Schizosaccharomyces pombe: one gene and its partners. The gene in region 3 interacts genetically with the main gene of each other region. Each region holds a gene or a part of one and is shown on either strand. Other genes may lie near its edges.

Region 1 (7,823 bases), 1.0 Mb from region 3:
ACCAAACATAAAAATTGTAAAGCAATGACGAAAACGCTCACAGTCTGCGACCACGACGACCACCCTTTCTACGGGTAGAGTCGGTAGGAATGGGAGTAACATCCTCAATACGACCAATACGCATACCAGCACGGGCCAAGGCACGAAGAGCAGCTTGAGCACCGGGACCCGGGGTCTTTGTAGCAGTACCACCAGTAGCACGGATCTTGATGTGAAGAGCAGTGATACCAACTTCCTTGCACTTAGCAGCAGCGTCTTGGGCGGCTAACATAGCAGCGTATGGAGAAGACTCATCACGATCAGTCTTGACCTTCATACCACCAGTAACACGAACGATGGTTTCCTTGCCGGTCAAATCAGTGATGTGAACGAAAGTATCGTTGAAAGAAGCAAAGATGTGAGCAACACCGAAAACAAGCTCACCGGAACGAATTTGAGGCCCAACGTTGGTTGCCATTTTGATATCTTTCCTCCCTACAGATGCGTTTGAGACACTGCGCAAGTTAACATTCTAAATGTGCTTGCAATTTAATTCTCTAATAAAAAAGCAGTCAATTTAGGGTAGGGTTTAAGCTTGGCATATTAGTCCAAGAAATATTAGCAAAAATAATGCTGGGCGTAAAAAAATAATAACGAAGTATTGATAGCGATGCACCTTGTACAAATCGTAATTCTGAAATTTATTATGAGTAATTAAAATTATAGTGTTCTAAAAGAAATGCAAAAAGTTGAACAAGACGAGTGATATATAAAAAAATATCTTTTGTAGGTGTGAATTATAAAATACGTTCATAGAATATGTAAAGACTTGTTGAAGAGAGTGTAAAAGATTGAAACACCAAAATAATCTTGAGCAAAAAAACGCACAGTAAATCAGTTTCTTGTGTCATGACAAAGTCCCTAATTCTCAAATTGTTCGAATGTTTAATGTCTCCACTTGAGAAGGTTAAGGTCTTTCACATAATTTATTGACCGTATTACCACCAGCTTTACGAGTTTCATCAATGGTATATCTCGTGTCATAATGGTGTTTAGGTTAAATTTAGGATGTGCGTAATAAGTCAAACATGTAGTGAGTACTTTGCTATCCAGAGCGTCAATTGTAGAATCACGAATTTCAAATCACAAACGACCTTAGTATTAGAACAAATTATATCAGAGTTGCATACGCCCAAAAATGTAACATGTAGCTTTGTTGTGTTGTAAAACATAGTACTGATAATAATTATTGGCAATTCCCAAGTCTTTGAAACAGGTATTCCCATCAACATTTCTTGTACTGCATGAGCAAATATCTGTTCGAGGTGTCAAGTAGATTACTTAAACGGGTAGAATGAATTAAAGCTTCACGATGAAAATATCAGTCCCATATCTACAAATTCACGCGCATTTTTGTTCATTATTCGAGAGATATTTTTGTTGATGGCATTGCATCTAATGATTCCATTTCTGGTAGCCCCGGTGGTTGTTTGAACAGCTTTTAGCAGGAACTTAATCTGGTTATATAATTGTTCATCATTATATTCAAAATGAACGCTTCCACGACATGATTTGTTACAACAACGCTTTCCATACACACTCATTTGTCGTGTTCGATTACCACAAGAAGAATCATCACATACTAAAATTCCTTCATAATAAAGATTAATAAAATCTCTGAGTTGAGATGAGAATTGAAGAATAATAGTAAAGTCCGAATACTCATATCCACAATCACATTCTACTGTATTCGCATACAACGTTTCCTTCAAGGACTTTACAGATCGTAGGGAAAATGATGTAGCATTACAGGATGGACATTTCAATAGTAATGGGGAAACGTTAATAAAACACTGGTCATCAGTGAGCGTAGACTCATACCGCTGAAACGCAGATGATTCAGAAGTCTCATGTGAGTAGTATTTTCGAGCATCCAAACCTAAGCATTCAGCTAAGCGAGCACGGTTTGTTCCTTCAATCGGTGCTATAACACGCTCGATAGGAGGGAGAATTTGATGCGAAAGATAATAATTGTAGTCAATAACTAATGTGGAATTTGTATTCATTATTTCTTGCGGACTATAAGCTCGGTCGGCAGGGTGTCCGTCAGCGTCACTACCAGCAATAATGAAAGGAATAACATCGCCTACACGAACATTCTCTCCTCTAGCTTTCTTTTTAAGAGCCACCTGCACGAATGGCATCGTCTTTCCATTTGGATAATCTTCTGGATTTTTTCCCAAACGATTGAATATTATAAATTTGTTAGCCGGAAACTTCCCATTACGCATTTTTTCGGAAAAATCCATTAAATAAGAATGAATATTTTCAATTACGGTTTCCGTTAATTCACCAGATAAAATTTGATCCAAACAAAATTTACTAGCCTCCTTAGCTAAAGTACAAAACTCACGACGTTTCATATCCAAGCCCTTTACATCTAAATTGGGCTTCCCTTGAGAATCAAGCTGTAAAGCCGCGTACTTTTTCTTAGCATGCAGAAGCATGCGCTGATAAACGTTATCGATATCAATTTCTAGTTTACTATAACGTTCATTTACCTTTTCCTTAAATTCATTACCAATTCGAAGAGCATGGTTCTTGTCTGTTACGTTCGTATTGAGCATAACTGAATCGGTATCGCCATAAATTACTTGAAGTCCCATTTGATCCGCAAGTTCTTTAGTATTCATCAAGGCTTCCCTACCCTTATAAGTAATCAGAACAGCCAACGGACGTGCATAGAATCGAGACTTCGTATATCCCAGGCAGCCATACATGGAGTTTGCAGTTAACTTCAGGGCTTGTTGTTGGATATCCCATTGCAGCCTTTGTGTGGGAGTGGCAGAGTTATCCTTTAATAGTCCTTTAATTTGGCGTCGACGTTCCACAAGATTTGCAATTAATCGAGGAAATATACCTTGATTGGCCGAGGCAGATGGAGTATCGGGAATTTGATCGTCGGAATCAGAGTTAGAAGGAGATCTGTCAACAGTAGTAAAACAAATATTGTATTCTTGGATAATACTTGGATATAAACTATTGAAGTCCATCACCAAAATACAAGTTTCATAAAGTCCTTTTTGAGGCTCAAAAACCAATCCACCTTTGTATTTATCTTTTTTCTTGCCAAGAGATTCTTCTTGCAGACCGTCTTCTGCACCAAAAGCTTCAGCATGTCTTCTAATACTTTGTTGTTTATCCGGGACAATATATCCATTTTTTTTAAATTCGTGAAGAAGAATGTATTCGTTTCTTTCCGCTCTGGTACCTGTTAATGTTCTAGCCCAAGAGTTACCAGCAATGTTTGTTAAATTCTTTGATAGCTGAAGCATCTGAATTTTGAATGCGACGGCAGCAATAAAGAATGTGTCAATTTCACAGTGAACTAAATAATCCAATAAGCCGTGAGCCGTATCGGTCCATGATTGCAATGCCTTCTCTTGATTAATGTCTTGACGTTTAATGTCAAGCTCCTTAAGTACTATTTCAGATAAACTCCAAGATTGGGCTTTAATCATAGATCGACCAAAGTCGTTAGATAAATCACACATAAGCCTTCCAGCAATAATCTGTTTTTCTACGAACTGTTGAGAGCTTCTATTAAACGAACGTGGCCATTCGCTTCTTCGAAGTCGACCAATACTACTCCAATTATGAATTTTTCGTTCTTTCAGTCTAGATAACAATACTGAGTAGCACATTTCAAAATCATGCCCAAAATAAACATCAGGATCGTATGTACGAACTTTATTTAAGAAATTATTAAGCAACGAAACTTCAGACCTCTCACAAAAGATGGAAGATTTGTGCTGGCGAGCTAGCTTTTCAAAACCATTTGGAAAGATTTGCTTCAAAGGACGAATCAACGAAAAGGAATACGAGGGCATGTCATTTGCAGGCAAACCTTTTTCAATGTCAACATTTTCAAAAATCCTAGCACTAATCATAACGACTTCTTGCTTGTTTTGCTCTTTGTTAATCAGCGTTCTAAATGCAAGACTCATCACCGTCATTGGAGGCGTTTTCGAAGTAATTTCATTTTTTTCGAAAGAAACAGAAATGTTCTGAGGTGACGAACATCCTATTTCGACCCGGCACCAACTAGCATTTTTTACAGCATCAAAATTTGGTTGTTGTATTTTCAGCCAACAAGGACCCATAACTCTTCTACTTAAGACAAACTGCTCGAATAAGGCGGTATTAGTTCCAAAAACGTGTGAGAAAGAAGAACCAGTCAAATCAGTAGGCAGAGCAGGATAAGAATAGGAATAAATTACCTCTAAGTAATCAGCGGTCCGAGGAACATCTTCTAATTCGAAAGCATATTTATACTTGGAGACTCTTGATTTCCATTCCTTGACACCCCTTTTAGATAACAAATTGGCTACTTCGTCGTAAACATCTTTAGTTTGCGCTGCAATAGAATCTTCAGAAACTGAGGATGATGATGGGCGGGGAAGGAAGTATAAAGAACGCATTATCCCATCGACCTTGAGAAAGCACGAAACATACTGTTTAGTAGCTTTATCATATACTTTGCCAAATAGACACAATGAGCCGTACATCTCGGTATAATCCATCCAAAAAAAAAACAAAGAACCATCCTCTTCAGTAACATCAGATGGTGATACTTTTGAAATTGGAGATGAATAGGACGAAGCAGGAACATCTACATTCTTTATCTTAGAATTAATTTCAGAAAAAGCAGAGACGTCAAGTTCCGAAGATAAAGGTGTCATTGGTGATAGAGGTTGCTGAGAAATAGTAGCTTTTGAAAGCGATGCGGTGTCATCGACCTGATCATGACTCATCAATGGCTTCATGGCAATAGATTCTTCAACGTCAATAATGGGTGCATCAGATCCAACGGGGAGTTCTGGTTCGTCTAATTCCATTGGTTGACTGTCGACATTTTCTTCTGTCTCGAGTGCAGCAGGTGGGGAGCTGGGAATAGGAAGACTGCTAGCAGGTTGAGGAGTTGAAGGTACAGTTTCTGGGATGTATTTTTTGGGATCAGAAGAAACAACGTTAGTTGTACTTATTGAGGAAGCAGCTTTCTGAGAGCGACGTTTGGCATTTGATGTAGTATGAGAACGATTTCCCTTTTTTGTCGAGAGGCGTTCGGGAATATCTTGGTCGATTGAGCCAAGAATTTCAGCCATGAATTCATCTTCCTTCTCATTATTTTTTCGATTTGCGATACGTGAAGCAGGTTGGATAGCATTTGCTTTAAAAAACGCGCCAATTTGTTGATTAGGTTCAGCTAGAACGTTCTTCGATTCTAAATTACTGTTAGTGAAATGGCATACCCTATAAAATAGACGCTAGCTTGTGCCTTAATATAGACACATGTAACAGTGCAATAAACATACTCTTTCTTTTTCGACCAGACGATCCTTTTTCATTTTCATCATCCTCGTCACTGTAATGACTTTGATCCCACTCATCATATCCATTATCCACATAACCAGCCCCGTTATCGTCTACGACAAAGTCATCCTCATCCAGTCGTTGTCGAACAATCTTGCGATATTCTTCCTCTGAAACATTGTCATATAATTCTTCATTTTCTTTGCTTTCGTATGTGCTAGCCCTTGTTTTTCCGGCTTGACGAAGAGCCCGTAACTCAGCAAATCTTTGAGACGGCTTTATCCCCGCGTTTCTCTTTCTCATGATAAGTTCACGAGAAGACTTTAAAGTCGAATATATCTTCTTTCAAAAAAATAAATTAAATTAAAAAATCAATAAAAATACTCTTAAGACGGAAGATGGTCGCGAAAGCTCGCGTCTCCTTATGTGTGTGCTCTGGATGTAAACAATAGTACGCGGTCACTAATTAAAATGCATCGCTACAGCGCGTACGAGAGCGTTAACAAGTAATACTGACCCTAGCTCACCACCACAAGAGAGTTAAACCGGAATAGGTTAGGGTTGTAAAGACAGTCACAAGATGTAAACTAATACGGGAAATACTTGAAGCACGAATACTATCTCGTCGAAAATGGTTGCCTCCTCGACCGTCCCTAGCGTAGCCTCTATCTTTGCTCCCGAGTCTCTTCTCAAGAAGACTAAGGCTCAGAAACAATCTCGCGAACAGATTGTCGCTGCAGCTGCTGAAAAGAAGTCTGTAAGTTTAACACCCACTTTTGCTTAAAGCTTTTACGGTTAGCAAATATGGTAAACGAAGCACGATTGTTTTTTTCTGCATTAATTCTAAGATGTTTGAATAAAAAAATCGAGTAAATGGCTGATGAAAGGATGTTTTGGGTTGATTTTGCAGTTTAATTACTCTTGTACTCCTTTTATTAGATGGTACTATGAGAACCGTTTACTTAAAACGTAGTTAGTGTTAAGTTCACCATACTATGCAATCTGAAATAATTTAGTCAATTTGAGATTTTTACTAATTCAAACCTAGGCTCGCCAAAAGAAGCGTGAACTCATAGCTAAACGTGCTGAGGCTTATGAAGCTGAATACCGTGCTGCTGAGCGTGAGCAGATTGAACTTGCTCGTAAGGCTCGTGCCGAGGGCAACTACTTTGTTCCTCATGAGCCCAAGTTGATCTTTGTTGTTCGTATCCGTGGTATTAACAATATTCCTCCCAAGGCTCGTAAGATCATGCAATTGCTCCGTCTTTTGCAAATTAACAATGGCATTTTTGTCAAATTCAACAAGGCTATTAAGGAAATGCTCCAAGTCGTTGAGCCTTACGTTACTTATGGTATTCCTAACCACAAAACTGTTCGTGAGTTGATCTACAAACGTGGTTTTGGTAAGGTCAACAAGCAACGTATTCCTTTGTCTGATAACGCTATCATTGAAGCCGCCTTGGGTAAATATTCCATCTTATCTGTTGAGGATTTGATTCATGAAATTTACACTGTTGGTCCTAACTTCAAGCAAGCTGCCAACTTCCTCTGGCCCTTCAAGCTTTCTTCTCCTTTGGGAGGCTGGAGAGAACGTAAGTTCAAGCATTTTATTGAGGGCGGTGATGCTGGCAAGCGTGATGAGCATATCAATGGTTTAGTTCAAAAGATGCTTTAAGTATAAAATTTGGCTTTTCGGTTTTCTTGTGCCCATAGTGTGTACTCTATATTAGGTTTGTCAATTTACGTATTTAATAAAAAAGAAGTTTGTAATTTACAAATACTTTATAGCAAGTATTTATGGTGGTATGGAATTGATTAACTTGGAAATGCAAGGCTCACTGTATTGTATAGATATTTACGATCTTGTTTGGCGAAATGCGATAAGGTTGATTGTTAAAAATTGAAGAAAATTCGACTTTAAACTTGTTATTTATTAAGTTGTATGGGTATTTGATGGTGTCTTCAAAAACAGCCAGAATATTTTTTTAATGTAGAAAATCTGTAAATTTTTCTACTTTGACTTTACATACATATTTAACGAATAATTCATATTATCTTGCTTCAGCTTCCTTGCGTATATTATTAATATGGAAAGATTAGTCTAAATATTCAACACTAATATTAGAAGCAATGAAGAATAAGTGTATAATCTGAGCAAGGGATAAATATATCTGATGAGAAAGTGAATCTATAAAAATAAATTAAATAAAATTATTGGAAGGCGCGAGTAGTATACATGTAAAATGTATGCACCAATGCAATTATAAAAATTGCCCAAAAGATAAAAAGATAGTCCGAACATTTTTTAATGGATAAATAAGCCAATAAATGGATAACAAAACCCAATCTTGTCGGGATTGAGACAATTCTGAATCGTATATCGTTTGAAAGAGAAATTTATGTTAATCCTTATGGCATAACATTCTTAATTTACAGGGAAACTTGAATATTAATAGAGTAGGGAAAAAGCA
Region 2 (4,138 bases), 940 kb from region 3:
CACTTTAAAGGTACACTTAATTTCTAAATTTTCTTTCTTAAATGGTTCTGTTGTATTGTTGCTAACATTTAAAGGCTAATTATATGGTCTGGCCCTTCTTTCAAACTGTGAACTTTTGGCTAATGCCCTTACAATACCAAATGCCATTTGCTTGTACGGTTGCTATTTTTTGGTATGTTGTTTCCAAGAGACATAAAGCATTTTTGCTCCTAGTTTTTTCGCCTTTGCTAATTTCAATTAGGAACATATTTCTTAGTTTGAAGAACGCTTCTTCAATGCAAGAATCTGGCTCACAAGAAATTGAACTATTTTAAAGATCTTTGATCCATCGTCCGAATCCACTGCTTTTCGTTTTTTGAGTTGTATCAGCCAGATTGTTTTTTGGCATATTATTACTTAGAAACGAGTTTTGTATACCATTATTAGCTTATATGATCAGAATTACCTCCTTAGACTAATTATTTTTACGTAAAAGTCATGCATTAAACAGATTTACTATTATTATAGCGTAGTATAGTTTTATCTACATGCGTCTTGCTTTTTTTAAGTTTTTTTTTTAGATTAATAACAATTACATGACTTCGTTTTCAACGCTTTTTCTTGCTTTCACCACCCTTATTTGAATCTCTTTTCCTTTTTGCTGATCCTTTGCTCTTTGTATCTACAGGTTTTTTGGGAGAAGAAGGGACTGGTTTAAAAAAGGAATCAAGACGACCCTGTGGAATTGTCTTTGAGGCTTTTTCTAGTCTATTGATCCCCAATTTAACACGATCTTCATTGAAACCTTTTTCCTTAACCAGAAATTGTATAATGCCATCTGCATCGGGACTTTTCCATTTCAACTCAATCTCTTCACCAGGAAGTACTTCTGCATCCAAAAACAGTCTTCTGGCATCTTCATAAGGCCAATCTTCCGGAATAGGATATTTTGATCGATCCGCCTCTTTGACAAAGCGATCGAGAGTCCCGTATTGCCTAATTAACTCGACGGCTCTAGCGGGGCCAACTCCCCGAATAGGTTCACAATAGTCACAACCCAAAAGAATACACAAGTCTACAAACTGCTCCACCGACATATCTAAACCATTCAATGCTTTTTCTATGTTATACTCACTAATTGGTTCCTTTCTTTGCTCACTAAATGTCAGGTGTCTCAAAAGTACAGGAGCTTGGAAGCACAATGTGTCCATGTCCTCAGAAGCAGCAGCATAAACTTTTCCTGAACGGGCTAAAGCGGCACATTGAGCTTCTGCTTCACAGGGTGCGTTAACGAAGGGAATTCCCATTAACTCTAGTAAACGTTTTGCTTCGTCATTATGTTGCCGAGTAACTTTGACCGTACGTTTGGCAAACCGATCCACCATTTCAGCTGTACCAACCTCTTTTGTCTCCTCTTGATCCTCTCGTGCTTTTTGATGTCGGGCCACACGTTTAGCTAATTCCCCTGACTTCAATGTTGGTGGTTTTCCATCAAAGACAAAGCAAGGCTTTATTCCATTATCGACAATTCGGAGTGTACGATAAAACATTCCCATTAAATGACTAGTAGTCTCGCCTTGTTCATTCATTAGCTGTTGACCATCTTGACTGCGAACTTGAATTAAAAATTGATAAAGACTCATTGACCTGTAATATACGAAATTAGCATTAATAAAGTACCTCAAGAAGACTTTATAAATCAACCCTTCGAAAAGGAAAGAATCAGTTGAATAGAGTTTGACCTATTAGTGTTTGCAACTTCAAGAACCAACAAAGTAAAGAAATGATGTAAAATACCTTGAGCAATGAATTTAACCGAGTCACTGTTAGTGAAAATTTATTCATCCTTTATTCTATATTTCGTTTGTATCATATCTTTGTCTCGAGTTAAGACATAGAGCTTTGCTCTTTAGCAATAAAAACTGTACACCATAGTGTTTAACCCATATTTACAAACAAAATCAGAAGCCATACAGTCTTTGCCAAGTCAACTGAGACTTTCGCTTTCTATTTAGTCTTTCAACTTACGCATCTATAGCCACTTTCCGTCCAAAATAATTTTTAATATCATTATGTTTGACACTGGCTGGGGCATGCTCGCTTAGTACTTGAGCCAAACCTAACCCAGATTAGTTTTAAGTAAAGGAGAGAGTAAAAGATAAACTCTTTAGCGTTAAATGTAACATACCTTTAATTCCCATCGTTTAGCAAATATACTTATTTATGTATATTACGAGATCCCGAACAACGCTTTCTCCAAAACTAGCTTAGAGCTTCTTATTAAATTTTCAATTTTTGCTAGATGTATTATACTCCTCAAAATCGAGCAGTTTTTACTTTGCTCACTCACACAAAGGTTCTTAGCTACCAGCAGTAGTATCCACGTCAAAGAGTCGATTCAGTAAATCACATGTTACTTTTCCATAAAGAATGATCGACCAAAGAATGTAAATACAAGGAAAGGGACCAGCCAATTTATACTGAAAATTCCCATGTATTATAGCTTTTAAAAAAGGATTTCTAGAAGGAACAAATTAGAAATTTTAAGATTACCAAATTGAGGTTCTTGTGGTTTTGGTGGCAGCACGGCTGTAAAATGTAAATCACCTCGCAGTTTACTACCACGAAAAGATCTCGAAAAGGTAATGTACCATCAGAAATTCTGGAAAAATGATCGATTCCTTTTTCCGGATAAGGAATAGGATGAAAAGTACATTGGAACTTTACCGAAACCCTATTGACTTGGCTAGATGTAAGTCTGTGTAACATAAGGTTGTTTTTATGAGAATAAACCAGTGGTTTTACGGTACTGAGATACCGTAGTGAGAAAGCCGCTTGAATTGCTCAACGTAATATTTTTAATAGAACAATAGCCTTGATTCATGGAACAATGTTGGATAATAGGCATTTTACCAAGAGAGTATTATTTGAAACTCGCCATATCTGCTACTGAATCGTCGAAAATATAATCGTAACCAGTTTATGGTATCGCTTGTGTAGTATGCAGACAACGAACAATATTGCAATATTCTACTAATAAGGTTCCTTTACCGACGTATTTCGTGCGGATCAAAACGTCATTCTGATCTTACGTTGGCAAATTCTAGTTAATGTCGGCTCGTTGAAAGAATATTATATGAGATGCTGCGCGCCTTGCTTACAGTATACTCATATCCCAGTGCAACCTCAATTTACCTGTGAAAGCAAGAACAATGTCTGAACAAAGCTCGCCATACTTAACATTGGCACCTGCCGATTACGAAGGAGAAGATGTCTCTAATGAAAAGGAAAAAAACAGTGTTATTCCTGATGTTATAGACTATTATAACAAAGGTAGACAATATTACCAATCGTTTGTGGTTTATAAAGCAACTGCTAATACCATTTTCCAATTTTCATATTTGTTGTATATATACATCGACCTCACTAAAGCTGATCAAACCGAAGTGTTACAATTTCTTAAAACATATGTTGAGGATGAATCGTTTGTTGGAGATGATTTTGTTATGCCAAAGTATACACTGGTTTTACCATATCGAGTGTATCGTGATCATGTAAAAAAACATGGAGATATTATAACGCCAAAGTGAAGTGCTAAATCTATTTTAATGTTTTCTTTTGTTTTTAAAGAACTTTCTGCTTGCATGAATCGCTCATTTTATAAGCAAATACCAGTTATATTGCTTCGCTTATTGTTATGATTTTTATGGATTCAAATCTAAAGAGAATTGCTAAATAGTGATTCATTAGTTAAGTTATTTATTTTTTAAAAAAAATAATAAATTCAACAAAATAAATGTAATCCTTTTTTTTTGGATCTTTTTTTCTGCTTCTTTGCTTTGCAAGTATTGAATTTTTTAAGTTTTTTGAATTTTGTAGCTTAGTAAATCGATCTGTAACCTTTTGAAAAAACAAACTTAAAAAAATACATGTTATAGTATGCACAGTGATATAATCAAAGTTGAACCTCTATTTGTTGATCCCAAATCGAGTTAAGGAAACATTCCTTAATATTACATTACTTTTCGAATTTACATTTGATTACAAAGAATGAATCTTGTTCATTGCAAAAAGGGTTCAAAATGTTATTCGAGTTTTATTCTCGATTATTGATGCACTAGGTTTGAATGTATTATGTTTAGTCTTACAAAAAAAAAAA
Region 3 (4,990 bases):
TCTCCAACGTTACCGAGGACATGGCTGTCGGTAAGGAGGAAATTTTTGGACCCGTTCTTGCCGTCATTAAATTCAAGACCATCGAGGAGGCCATCCGTCGCGGTAACAACAGTACATATGGTTTAGCTGCTGGTGTACACACTAACAATATTACCAATGCCATCAAGGTCAGCAATGCTCTTGAAGCCGGTACTGTTTGGGTGAATTGTTATAACTTACTTCATCACCAAATTCCCTTTGGTGGTTATAAGGAGAGTGGCATCGGTCGCGAATTGGGCTCTTACGGTCTTACCAATTATACTCAAACAAAAGCTGTTCACATCAACCTGGGAATGGATTCTCCCATTTAAGGAAATCAGACGCAAATATTTTTTGTAAAAAAAATAAAAAAATATGCATTCAATGGATAAAGAATGAAGAAAAACTCTAGTGAAGAGAATTATTGGATTTTTCTCTTTATGTTATGAATGTTTACAGTTTTTCTTGAAACTCTTCTATGACGGATTTTCTTTATTATGAATCAAAACGGTTTTGATATTTGAACTTTCAAATGCATTTTATTGAATTTACATAGTGATGATTCTTTATGTTAGTGGTACTTTAATATATTCATTTTCGTTAATTGCTAGATGATTTTATTTGCAGGTAAATATAGCCGTAAGTTTTACTAAAAGAACGGAATGGGGATGTTTTTGTGGTACGCATTCCTTTGGGGAAACAGATTGATTTGTATTTAATTTGCGAGGATGTGGGTGCGGGACGGGAAAGAACAACACTGAAGAAACAAGTATCATTATTTCATTTGAAAAATTAGGGAAATAGATTCATCTGTTTCATTATCTAAAAATTAGTGTACAACTGCTCCAGCTCTTCGGGAGAGACGCAAACTTCCAACAATTCTGTAGTGAGAAAATACATTTCCTCACCCAAATTGCCAAACGCTTTTTGTTCAGTATCGCCGAATGCGCAGCATGCTATTGCATAAACGAAACGAGGTTGTAACGCATTTTCAGCTAACATAAATTTTGATGATAAATCTTCGGAAGATAAAATGTACAGAAGCCGAACAAGAGATACTAAAATCTCTACGCATTCATTTTGAGGGTACATTGACGAAAGGAGTTGCTGATGATACCAAGTGATGGCTAGTCCGATGCATACTATTAAGGGATTGCATACTTTTAAAATCTCTTTACCAATGTTTCCAGACATTTGTATAAACACGGTAAAAAAGGATATGACAAAGCGATGAAGCGTTATCCATTCATTCTAATTTGTTAGAAATAAGCAATGCAAAGATTATAAGCACAATTCGTAAACGTACCAATTCAGGAAAATTAATCCTTTCCCTAGTAGTAACAACTAAAATATGGGCCATAGTTGTGAAAAGTTGCATGAGTGATTCTTGGGATTTATCATCGGCATTTAACAAGTTAACTGAAGCGCAAAACGAAGGAGTGGTGGAACTAATAATTAAACAAACACCACATTTAATCAAAGAAGGAGCATTTTGCACTCGAATGCAGGATTCGAATAACGACGGATCAACCGCTTTAGTAATGTTTGCAAAGTCATCAGCACTTTCACGTGCTATAGATAAGTATAAATAAAGAAAATCTATTAAAACGTAAAACTTTGAGTCCAAAAAATTGCTTTTTTCGTATTCCTTAAGAAGAAAACCACTTATTAAAGAAACGACATTTTCCTGAAAGATAAAGGTGGATGATTTAGGGTCCAAAATTAATAATGCATTAAACAAAGATGTTATAGCAAAGGAGGCATTATATAATAATTTTTTCATTGAATAATTTAAAATCGACGATGATGTTTGAACGACAGATTGTACATAATTGGAGGAATCCATAGATAGATCGGGACTGTATATTAGAGCTTTCAAGTTATTAAACAAACATTCACCTTCCTCCTCTCCTTCAATTGTTTCTAATGAATGCATACAACCACCAAATACGTATGCTAAAGTTCTAGAAGACTAGAAAAGTAAGAAAAGGGAATAAAATTTAACACGACAGTTTAAAAATACTTACAAAATACAAATCTTCTCTTTTTTGTAGAGAAAGTAAATCTTTCATCAGGCTCAAAGACAAACTTGCATCTGATATAGCAATACTAGAACTCACACTATCCGTTGAAGCATCTTCAGCAGTAGCAACACTTGTTTTGCGCTTCTTTTTAGAAGGGCTGTTTTTTGCAGCATGCTTTGTGCTCTTAGCAAGCTGATCAGAAGAAGATAACAATTTATTGTCACCATCTTCTTCATGGGATTTTTTCATAATCGGAGAATTCTTTACATCTCTTTTCATTTTTTTCATAGTTTCGATAGCATCCTGTGCTTCACGCTCATGAAATAGGGATTTCGTTTTTGCGTATTCAATTTCTTTTTTAAGCTCCTCTAATTTCCGTTGGTATTCATCTTGCTTTTGCTTTATAGAATTATTTAACGATTCTAGGGCGGCATTATTAGCTTCGGATTGTTTTAGAAGGTTAGCACGAAGAATTGCATTTTCTCCCGACTTAATTAAAAGTTCTGTTCGAAGGTCATTAGAGGATAATGAGGCTTGTGAGTTTACGGTAGATTCCCGGACTTTTTGAGAAGAATTGGTGTATGAATTTGGAAGATTTAAATTTTGCTTTTGCTTTTCACTCGGTACAACTACTTGAGAACTTTGAGCTTGAACCTGGGTTTGAGCTTGTTGCTCTAATTCATCTAAATTCACGCCTTCAAATATTTCATCCGAACCCAAACTCTCCAAGTCAAAACTTTCATCAGCCATCATTTTGTTTGTAGCTTTCACTCTCGTTTATGCGTAACAATAGTTGTTTGAAGTGATTCCAAATTGTAATATGGGCCCAATGTTTTTCTTATTCTGTAAAAAAGAATTGAATTCATAATAAATCGTAAATTGTTTCAAATACTTTCAGCAACCTTGGTAACTGTAATTATCGTAATTCAGCAATTGGAAAACCTTAACAGTTAGTAAGCAATATTATGCAGAGAAGATAAGGCCGAAAAACCATATCTCTTTCTAGTATGAATACCACATACAAACGAAACACTAATAGCAGAATATGACTGCAGTCACTAAGGCTGCTTAATCGCGTAACTTCCTGTATGAATAATTGAACCCTTGTAGCAATATGAATTGATTTTGCAGAGCACCAACAGATATGATAAATAAGATAGTCTTTTCCAAAATGCGCAGCTATATAAGATGCTTTAACGATACGTTTAACTGCTATGAGTATTTCTTGTGATCTTTAATTTACTTGTTGAACTTGGCGTATTAGTGCATTTTGGTTAGCAATCGAATAGCCAACTTGAAGTTTTACGAGTTACGTAATCGACAATAAGACCTCAAGTACTGTAAATCACTATTAGCCAAAAATCAAGTATTTGAATTGTCAATAATAAAAAATAAATAAAATAAGTGTATGATGTTTGAATGCTTTTAAAAATAAAACATGAGAAAAATATTTTTTATACTTAAATTAAGGTGTTATGACAAATGGCTTCCATCATTTATTCGAATTAATAAACATAAAAGAATTAAAAAAATGAAAATATTATTAAAAAAGTAAGATCGAATTGTAGTCTAACCAAATATATCAATGGATAAAATGAAATAATTTGTTATTTTGTTTTATTGTAGAAATTATTAATTTCAATCTCTATTGAATACTCATAACCTCGAAAAATTTAAAAGTTATTTATTTTCAGACAGTCCAACTCCTAATCGTAGAACATTTTATAGTTTATGCTGGTTTAAACGGTTTATTGTTTCAACTCGAACAACAATGACAAAGCCTAAAATGATGATCATATGAATTAACGTTAAGTTCATTGTTTCTCCCCCATCCATTTACTATATTATCAAAAATAAAAAGGAAAAATCTAAACCAAAACACTTAAAGCGTTAATTATAAGTATGTTTAGGTCAATGACAGTCATATAAACATTGATTAAATTGATCAATGCAGTACTATATTAGTCATATTACCAGTCATTCAAATCGTATAAATTAATCCATGGCTAGTAAATTGTTTAGTGACAGAGATTTTTCTCTGACATGAAATCTGAATTATTTCTCTTGTGAATATCTTTGTTACTTTCTCAAGAGTGTATGTATGTGCCCTAGAATAGTGACTTCCTTTATCAAAACTTCGAGTTTATTGCCCTTAGGAAACGTACATAAAAAAGTTGAAAGTCATGTTTTTTCAACATAAAAAAACACAAACAAAGACTTAAATAAAACTAGTACCATTTATACAATAACATTACTTGAATTAATAAATTTAAGTGTATTTTTGCGGCATTATCTCAAGGGACTCCAGTAGATTCTACCACTTACCACCTGGCAAAAGCAACACTCCTCCATGTCTACAAAATCCTACGATTATTTAATCAAATTACTTCTCATAGGAGATTCAGGTGTGGGAAAATCATGTCTTCTTCTGAGATTTTCGGAAGACTCGTTTACCCCTTCTTTTATCACAACGATTGGAATTGATTTCAAGATTCGCACGATTGAACTAGATGGAAAACGTATCAAACTCCAAATTTGGGACACTGCTGGCCAGGAACGTTTCCGTACCATTACCACTGCTTATTATCGTGGTGCAATGGGTATTTTATTGTTATACGATGTAACTGATAAAAAATCATTTGATAACGTCCGAACTTGGTTTAGTAACGTTGAACAACATGCTAGTGAAAATGTTTATAAAATCCTTATTGGAAATAAATGTGATTGTGAGGATCAGCGTCAGGTCTCCTTTGAACAGGGACAAGCGTTAGCCGATGAGCTGGGCGTTAAATTTTTAGAAGCTAGTGCGAAGACGAACGTCAATGTAGATGAGGCATTTTTTACCCTTGCCCGGGAAATAAAAAAACAAAAGATTGATGCAGAAAACGAATTTTCCAACCAGGCAAATAACGTTGACCTCGGAAACGATCGTACGGTGAAGAGGTGTT
Region 4 (4,722 bases), on a different chromosome or scaffold from region 3:
GAGAACAGTCCTGCCTTGAAGTCTAAAGCATCTTTTGAGTTCCCTAAGGAATTAGATCCTGATGGTACTTGGAATGCACCAATTCCTTATCCTGATGCAAATTGTCCTATGGCTCCCACTTATCGGAATTTGACTTCTGAACAAGAAGAAATGTATGAAGAAGTACTTAAATATTGTTTGGAATTAAAAGAGATTCCTGTAGCGTCTAATTCTAGCAAGAAAACGGATTTGATTGAGTTGGAGCGTCTTTGGCTAACACGCGAATGCATCCTTAGATATTTGCGTGCTACTAAATGGCACGTTTCCAATGCAAAAAAGCGTATTGTTGATACTTTGGTATGGCGTCGTCACTTCGGTGTTAATAATATGGATCCTGATGAAATCCAAGAGGAGAATGCAACTGGTAAGCAAGTATTGCTAGGTTACGACAAGGACGGTCGTCCCTGTTTATACCTATATCCAGCTAGGCAAAACACTAAAACCTCACCACTGCAGATTCGGCATCTGGTTTTTTCATTGGAGTGTGCTATTGATCTTATGCCTCCAGGAGTAGAGACATTGGCTTTGTTGATTAATTTCAAGTCTTCGTCCAATCGTTCAAATCCCAGCGTTGGTCAAGGTAAAGAGGTACTGAATATTTTGCAAACTCATTATTGTGAGCGTCTTGGAAGAGCACTTGTTATTAATATTCCTTGGGCTGTATGGGGTTTTTTTAAATTGATATCTCCATTTATTGACCCTATTACACGAGAGAAGTTAAAGTTCAATGAACCGTTGGATCGTTATGTCCCTAAGGATCAATTAGATTCGAATTTTGGTGGATCTCTTCATTTTGAATATCATCATGAGAAGTACTGGCCCCAGTTGGTGGAATTGTGCAAGTCACGTCGTCTTGGCATCTTGGAAAAATGGAGGAAGATGGGATCTAAAATAGGTACAAGCGAATGGGATTTGAAGGGTGGAGAGGAATATGTTGAATTAATGCAACAGTATGTACGTCCTTCATTGACAAATCGTTCATCTTCTCCAACTGTTACTCCAACTGTAAATACTGATAGACAGCCAAAGACTTTAACCAATAGTGCTGATGAGCTCTCTCCTCAAAAAAGACGAGTTGAGAATCCTAAGCCCGTTGTCAAAGATGAGGGGCCTGTTTCTATCGTTGAAGATGAGGAATCGACGCCTGTTGTTACAAAAAAGGAGGACTCTATTCCTGTTGCTCAATCCACCAAAGCTGATGCTGGGCTCGATGCCGAGAATGATCTTCTTCCCAAATCTGGTTCCGGTGTTTCAGAAACACCAGCTTTTTCGCATGCACGAGATGTTTCTACGGCTTCATTTAGCGACGCTGTTTCGTTTATCACCGCGGATAGCATAGAATAGTTTTTCTTAAGCTCTCGAAACCTCTTCACTCTTTTCTCTTATACTTTATTCGCAATTGAGCTAGTTCTATGATTTCTTTTTTTACAGCCTTGAAAACTTTTAATAGAGGGCTTTTGAATAATTCGGTGCTGAAAAAAGAAAATCCACTATTACTGTACATATTTAGCTAACAGTAGAGTCATTGATATTTCCAAAGAAGATCATTTGTTTTAATTCCTTTTTTCTTATATAGTTGATAGTTTCGTGCTTTTTAGTTTCAATAAGAAGAATTACCACACTTCAATTTATAACTTGGCATCTGTAAAATTCGTACACGCTAAATGAACCTTCCAAATTCCAAAAGTTGGAGACGCGTAACCTTTTACTCAATTATCAGTTTACGCCAAATATGTTAATATATTAATGAAGAAAAGATAACTTTTACTCGATGTAATACTATGACTTCTCTAAATGACATCGTTAATAAGTTGTCTTCATCAAAAATCAAAACACGATCAGATGCTCTACAAAATCTTCGCAGCTACATAATTTACTCCAGAAATGGAAATTCGCTAAATCAGGAAGATGCTTTAATAATCGAAAAGGCCATAAAGCGAGCATTCGAACTTGAATGGCAAATTTCTGCTAATCATGGTAAACGTCAAATTTCCAAAGCTTCCCAAGAGCAGAAGCTTCAAGATATTAGCTATTTGTTAAGAACATGTGTTGAATCTTATATTTTATTATTTAGGGAGCCTCATATTTTAGCGCTTCTAGATATAATTCTAAGACATACTTTCACAGCTAATGGTTCTATATGTGAGGTAGTCTGTTTGAATTTTTCTAAGGCTCTTCGGCTACTATTATCCCATTCTCCTCATTTGCATCATCTTCGTTTCTCGGATTGGCAATCACTAGTTTCCTATTGTTGTCAAGCTATTGAAAAACTAAGTATAGCTGAAGAAACTTATGTTAGTGATAGTGAAGAAGAGCCAATAAGCCAAAAAAACTATCAAGAAATATCTATCTGGAAATCGCACGATGTTATAAGAGTAAAGCAAGAAGTCGTTGAGCTCATTTACGTTATGCGTTCTCTTGTTCAATGGTATGCGGCTCCAATTAATTTTGTTAGTGAGCAACTGCTGAAATTTTTTGAGTTCTTTTTTTATGCTTACACGGAAGAAACAGATGCGCATCTACCAGCTTTGCAGTGTTTGTTTCAGTTATGTGCATATGCGATCCCCAATTGTAATGATTATTCCGCAAGCGTTGTTTTATTAGTCTTTAAGATTCTTATAAACTCTGATAAATGGAAGCGTCTGGATTTAAGATTGCAGCTTATACAATGCTTAGCCATTTCTTATCCACTTTGGTCCAATTCAGAAACATGGGATCCCCATCGTTCCATTAGATCTTTTAATTTAGATCTTCTTAACTCTTCGTTTTTTTCTTTAAAAAATTTCTTAAATTTTTTTGGAAAACGCTCCTCATTATCGCTTGCGAATTTTAGATTCCATACAGTTGAGCCTAAGAACAACATTGCAAAACTTTACGATCCACGGCTACACCTTTTTTTTTCTCTTAGACATAATTCTTTCTTTGAATCTTACTTTATTTATTTTTTTCTTGCAAAACTAATTCTCCTCAAAAAAACCGTGTTGTCCTTAGCAAGCACGGAGCAAGCCAACAAAAAGCAGAAAACATGTTCTCAAATAGAGGAACTGCTTTTGCAAGCTGAGCTAGCCAATATCTCGGCTTCCTCTTTTTCATTGCAACTCATGGTAATTATCACTGCTATTTCTGACAATCTAACAAACGATGATCTATTGTCAATTCAAAAAATGAGTCTTAACTTTACTGAGAAAAAAAATGAACTTCAAAGCTGGTCTTTTTTTATATTGTTCAACATTTGTTACAACAAAGCTTACTCTTCGATGCTTACGACTTCATGTAAAAAGGAAATTTTGGCTGCTGCTTCTCGTGGTCTCCTGAATTCTGTTACGTCTCCTGTATGCTATCAAATTTTAACTTATTTTAACATGTATCGGCCTTTGTGCTTCGCGAGCATTTTTCCTTTCATAAAGCAACAGTTTATTTTATTTAATGATTACTCGCCAATGCTTTCATATGAAGCCATTGATTACTGGAAATCTCTGTACATATTACTTAATGAAAACCTATTTGTTGGTCAAAGCTCTTTTAAATCTGTGTTTCTAAAATGGTTGAAGTGGCATCTATATCATTTGTTCAGCAAAGAGGGTGAACTACCATTTTTCTCATTTACCGATTCTTCTATTATCATTTTTGATTTGTTAATGATGATCTTCTATAGACCGTTGTCATTATCTTATATCACCACAGAAATACGATCACCTTTCGAACGTAATTTGTTTCACCTCAAAGAAGCATGGTCGCCTGTTACGCTTCGTTTTCCTTATACTACTGACGAAATATGTAAACAGTCTACAGAAGGATGCTATCCTTTCAATAGTAACCATACTATTGACTGTGATAGTTTGCAAAATGTCATTAAAATGTTGGAGAGCTCGATAGACGAAATTAGCTCAGCATCTTATGACAAAGATGAGCTTGACAAGGAAACCCCAAGCTTCGAAGCAGTTATGATATTTTCTCAGATATCATTTTTATGTGGCTTTCTAAATTGTTTTATCCAGAAAAAAGGTATTCATAATGTTACTCCTAACAATCTTGTCATTTTTAAAAATTTATTCCCTGAAGTCCTTTCTTTCGTTAAGTCTAATCACAGTTATGACCCAATAATAAATTGCATCTCTACTAATTTGCAGTTTACTATTTCTGATGAGCCAAAACATCTTCGGTATGAAATTGGAAGCGACTTAATTCGTTCAACTCATTTTCGAGACAGTAATCCGCTCAAAACCTTGGTTCTTTATATAATGGATATGGCTTCTAAAAACGTATTCATAAAGCCTCAAGAATTTGATCACGATGAGTATTTCTCCCAGGAGGAAGAAGATATTTATCGGCCAGAAAATTTAATCAGGAATCATCAAATACTTGGTTTGATGGAAGGATCGCTTGAGCAAATACGGAATACTGATCTTTTTATTTTACAAAAATATATCGACTACTTTTCTAGTCATCCTCATGACAGCTTAATTAATATTCTTCATTTGTATCCCATTGAAACTTTTTGTTTTGGTATGTCTGCAATTGGTGCATATTTCCTAGATGTTGCGCGGACATCCGAACCTATTTTCTACAAATGTCTTGAAATACTGGCTCAAAAAATTTTAATGAATTATGATTATGAAAGAGACGAAGTCTATCTAATGATTTTTATTAAAATATTTCAAAAATGTGTTCATTCTAAACTTC

The links.
Region 1: mutations in rad26 (region 3) and pol1 are lethal when combined (synthetic lethality), as found in Schizosaccharomyces pombe (3 studies listed by BioGRID, with this or other methods).
Region 2: mutations in rad26 (region 3) and rad2 impair growth when combined (synthetic growth defect), as found in Schizosaccharomyces pombe (4 studies listed by BioGRID, with this or other methods).
Region 4: mutations in rad26 (region 3) and tel1 impair growth when combined (synthetic growth defect), as found in Schizosaccharomyces pombe (5 studies listed by BioGRID, with this or other methods).

The regions. Positions count from the first base shown.
Region 1 is NC_003424.3:3,428,921-3,436,743, reverse strand, and holds pol1 (DNA polymerase alpha catalytic subunit), read right to left. Parts: upstream 5,790-7,823; 5' UTR 5,656-5,789; coding exon 5,355-5,655; exon of another isoform or gene 5,264-5,354; coding exon 1,347-5,263; 3' UTR 503-1,346; downstream 1-502. Other genes in the region: rps1401 (40S ribosomal protein uS11), read right to left, coding at 38-457; rpl702 (60S ribosomal protein L7b), read left to right, coding at 5,984-6,109, 6,401-7,027.
Region 2 is NC_003424.3:5,389,082-5,393,219, forward strand, and holds rad2 (FEN-1 endonuclease Rad2), read right to left. Parts: upstream 2,342-4,138; 5' UTR 2,181-2,341; coding exon 2,168-2,180; intron 2,099-2,167; coding exon 2,008-2,098; exon of another isoform or gene 1,831-2,007; intron 1,823-1,830; exon of another isoform or gene 1,627-1,822; coding exon 588-1,626; 3' UTR 505-587; downstream 1-504. Other genes in the region: SPOM_SPAC3G6.05 (Mpv17/PMP22 family protein 1), read left to right, coding at 1-10, 75-172, 242-314; SPOM_SPAC3G6.07 (uncharacterized protein), read left to right, coding at 3,192-3,569. UniProt on the Schizosaccharomyces pombe protein: Structure-specific nuclease with 5'-flap endonuclease and 5'-3' exonuclease activities involved in DNA replication and repair.
Region 3 is NC_003424.3:4,448,920-4,453,909, reverse strand, and holds rad26 (ATR checkpoint kinase regulatory subunit Rad26), read right to left. Parts: upstream 3,306-4,990; 5' UTR 3,065-3,305; intron 2,985-3,064; 5' UTR 2,796-2,984; coding exon 2,046-2,795; exon of another isoform or gene 1,991-2,045; coding exon 1,325-1,990; intron 1,270-1,324; coding exon 841-1,269; 3' UTR 541-840; downstream 1-540. Other genes in the region: atd1 (aldehyde dehydrogenase), read left to right, coding at 1-350; GTPase Ypt2, read left to right, coding at 4,393-4,990.
Region 4 is NC_003421.2:1,274,534-1,279,255, reverse strand, and holds the start of tel1 (ATM checkpoint kinase), read left to right. Parts: upstream 1-1,714; 5' UTR 1,715-1,820; coding exon 1,821-4,722. Other genes in the region: pdr16 (sec14 family protein), read left to right, coding at 1-1,383. UniProt on the Schizosaccharomyces pombe protein: Serine/threonine protein kinase which activates checkpoint signaling upon genotoxic stresses such as ionizing radiation (IR), ultraviolet light (UV), or DNA replication stalling, thereby acting as a DNA damage sensor.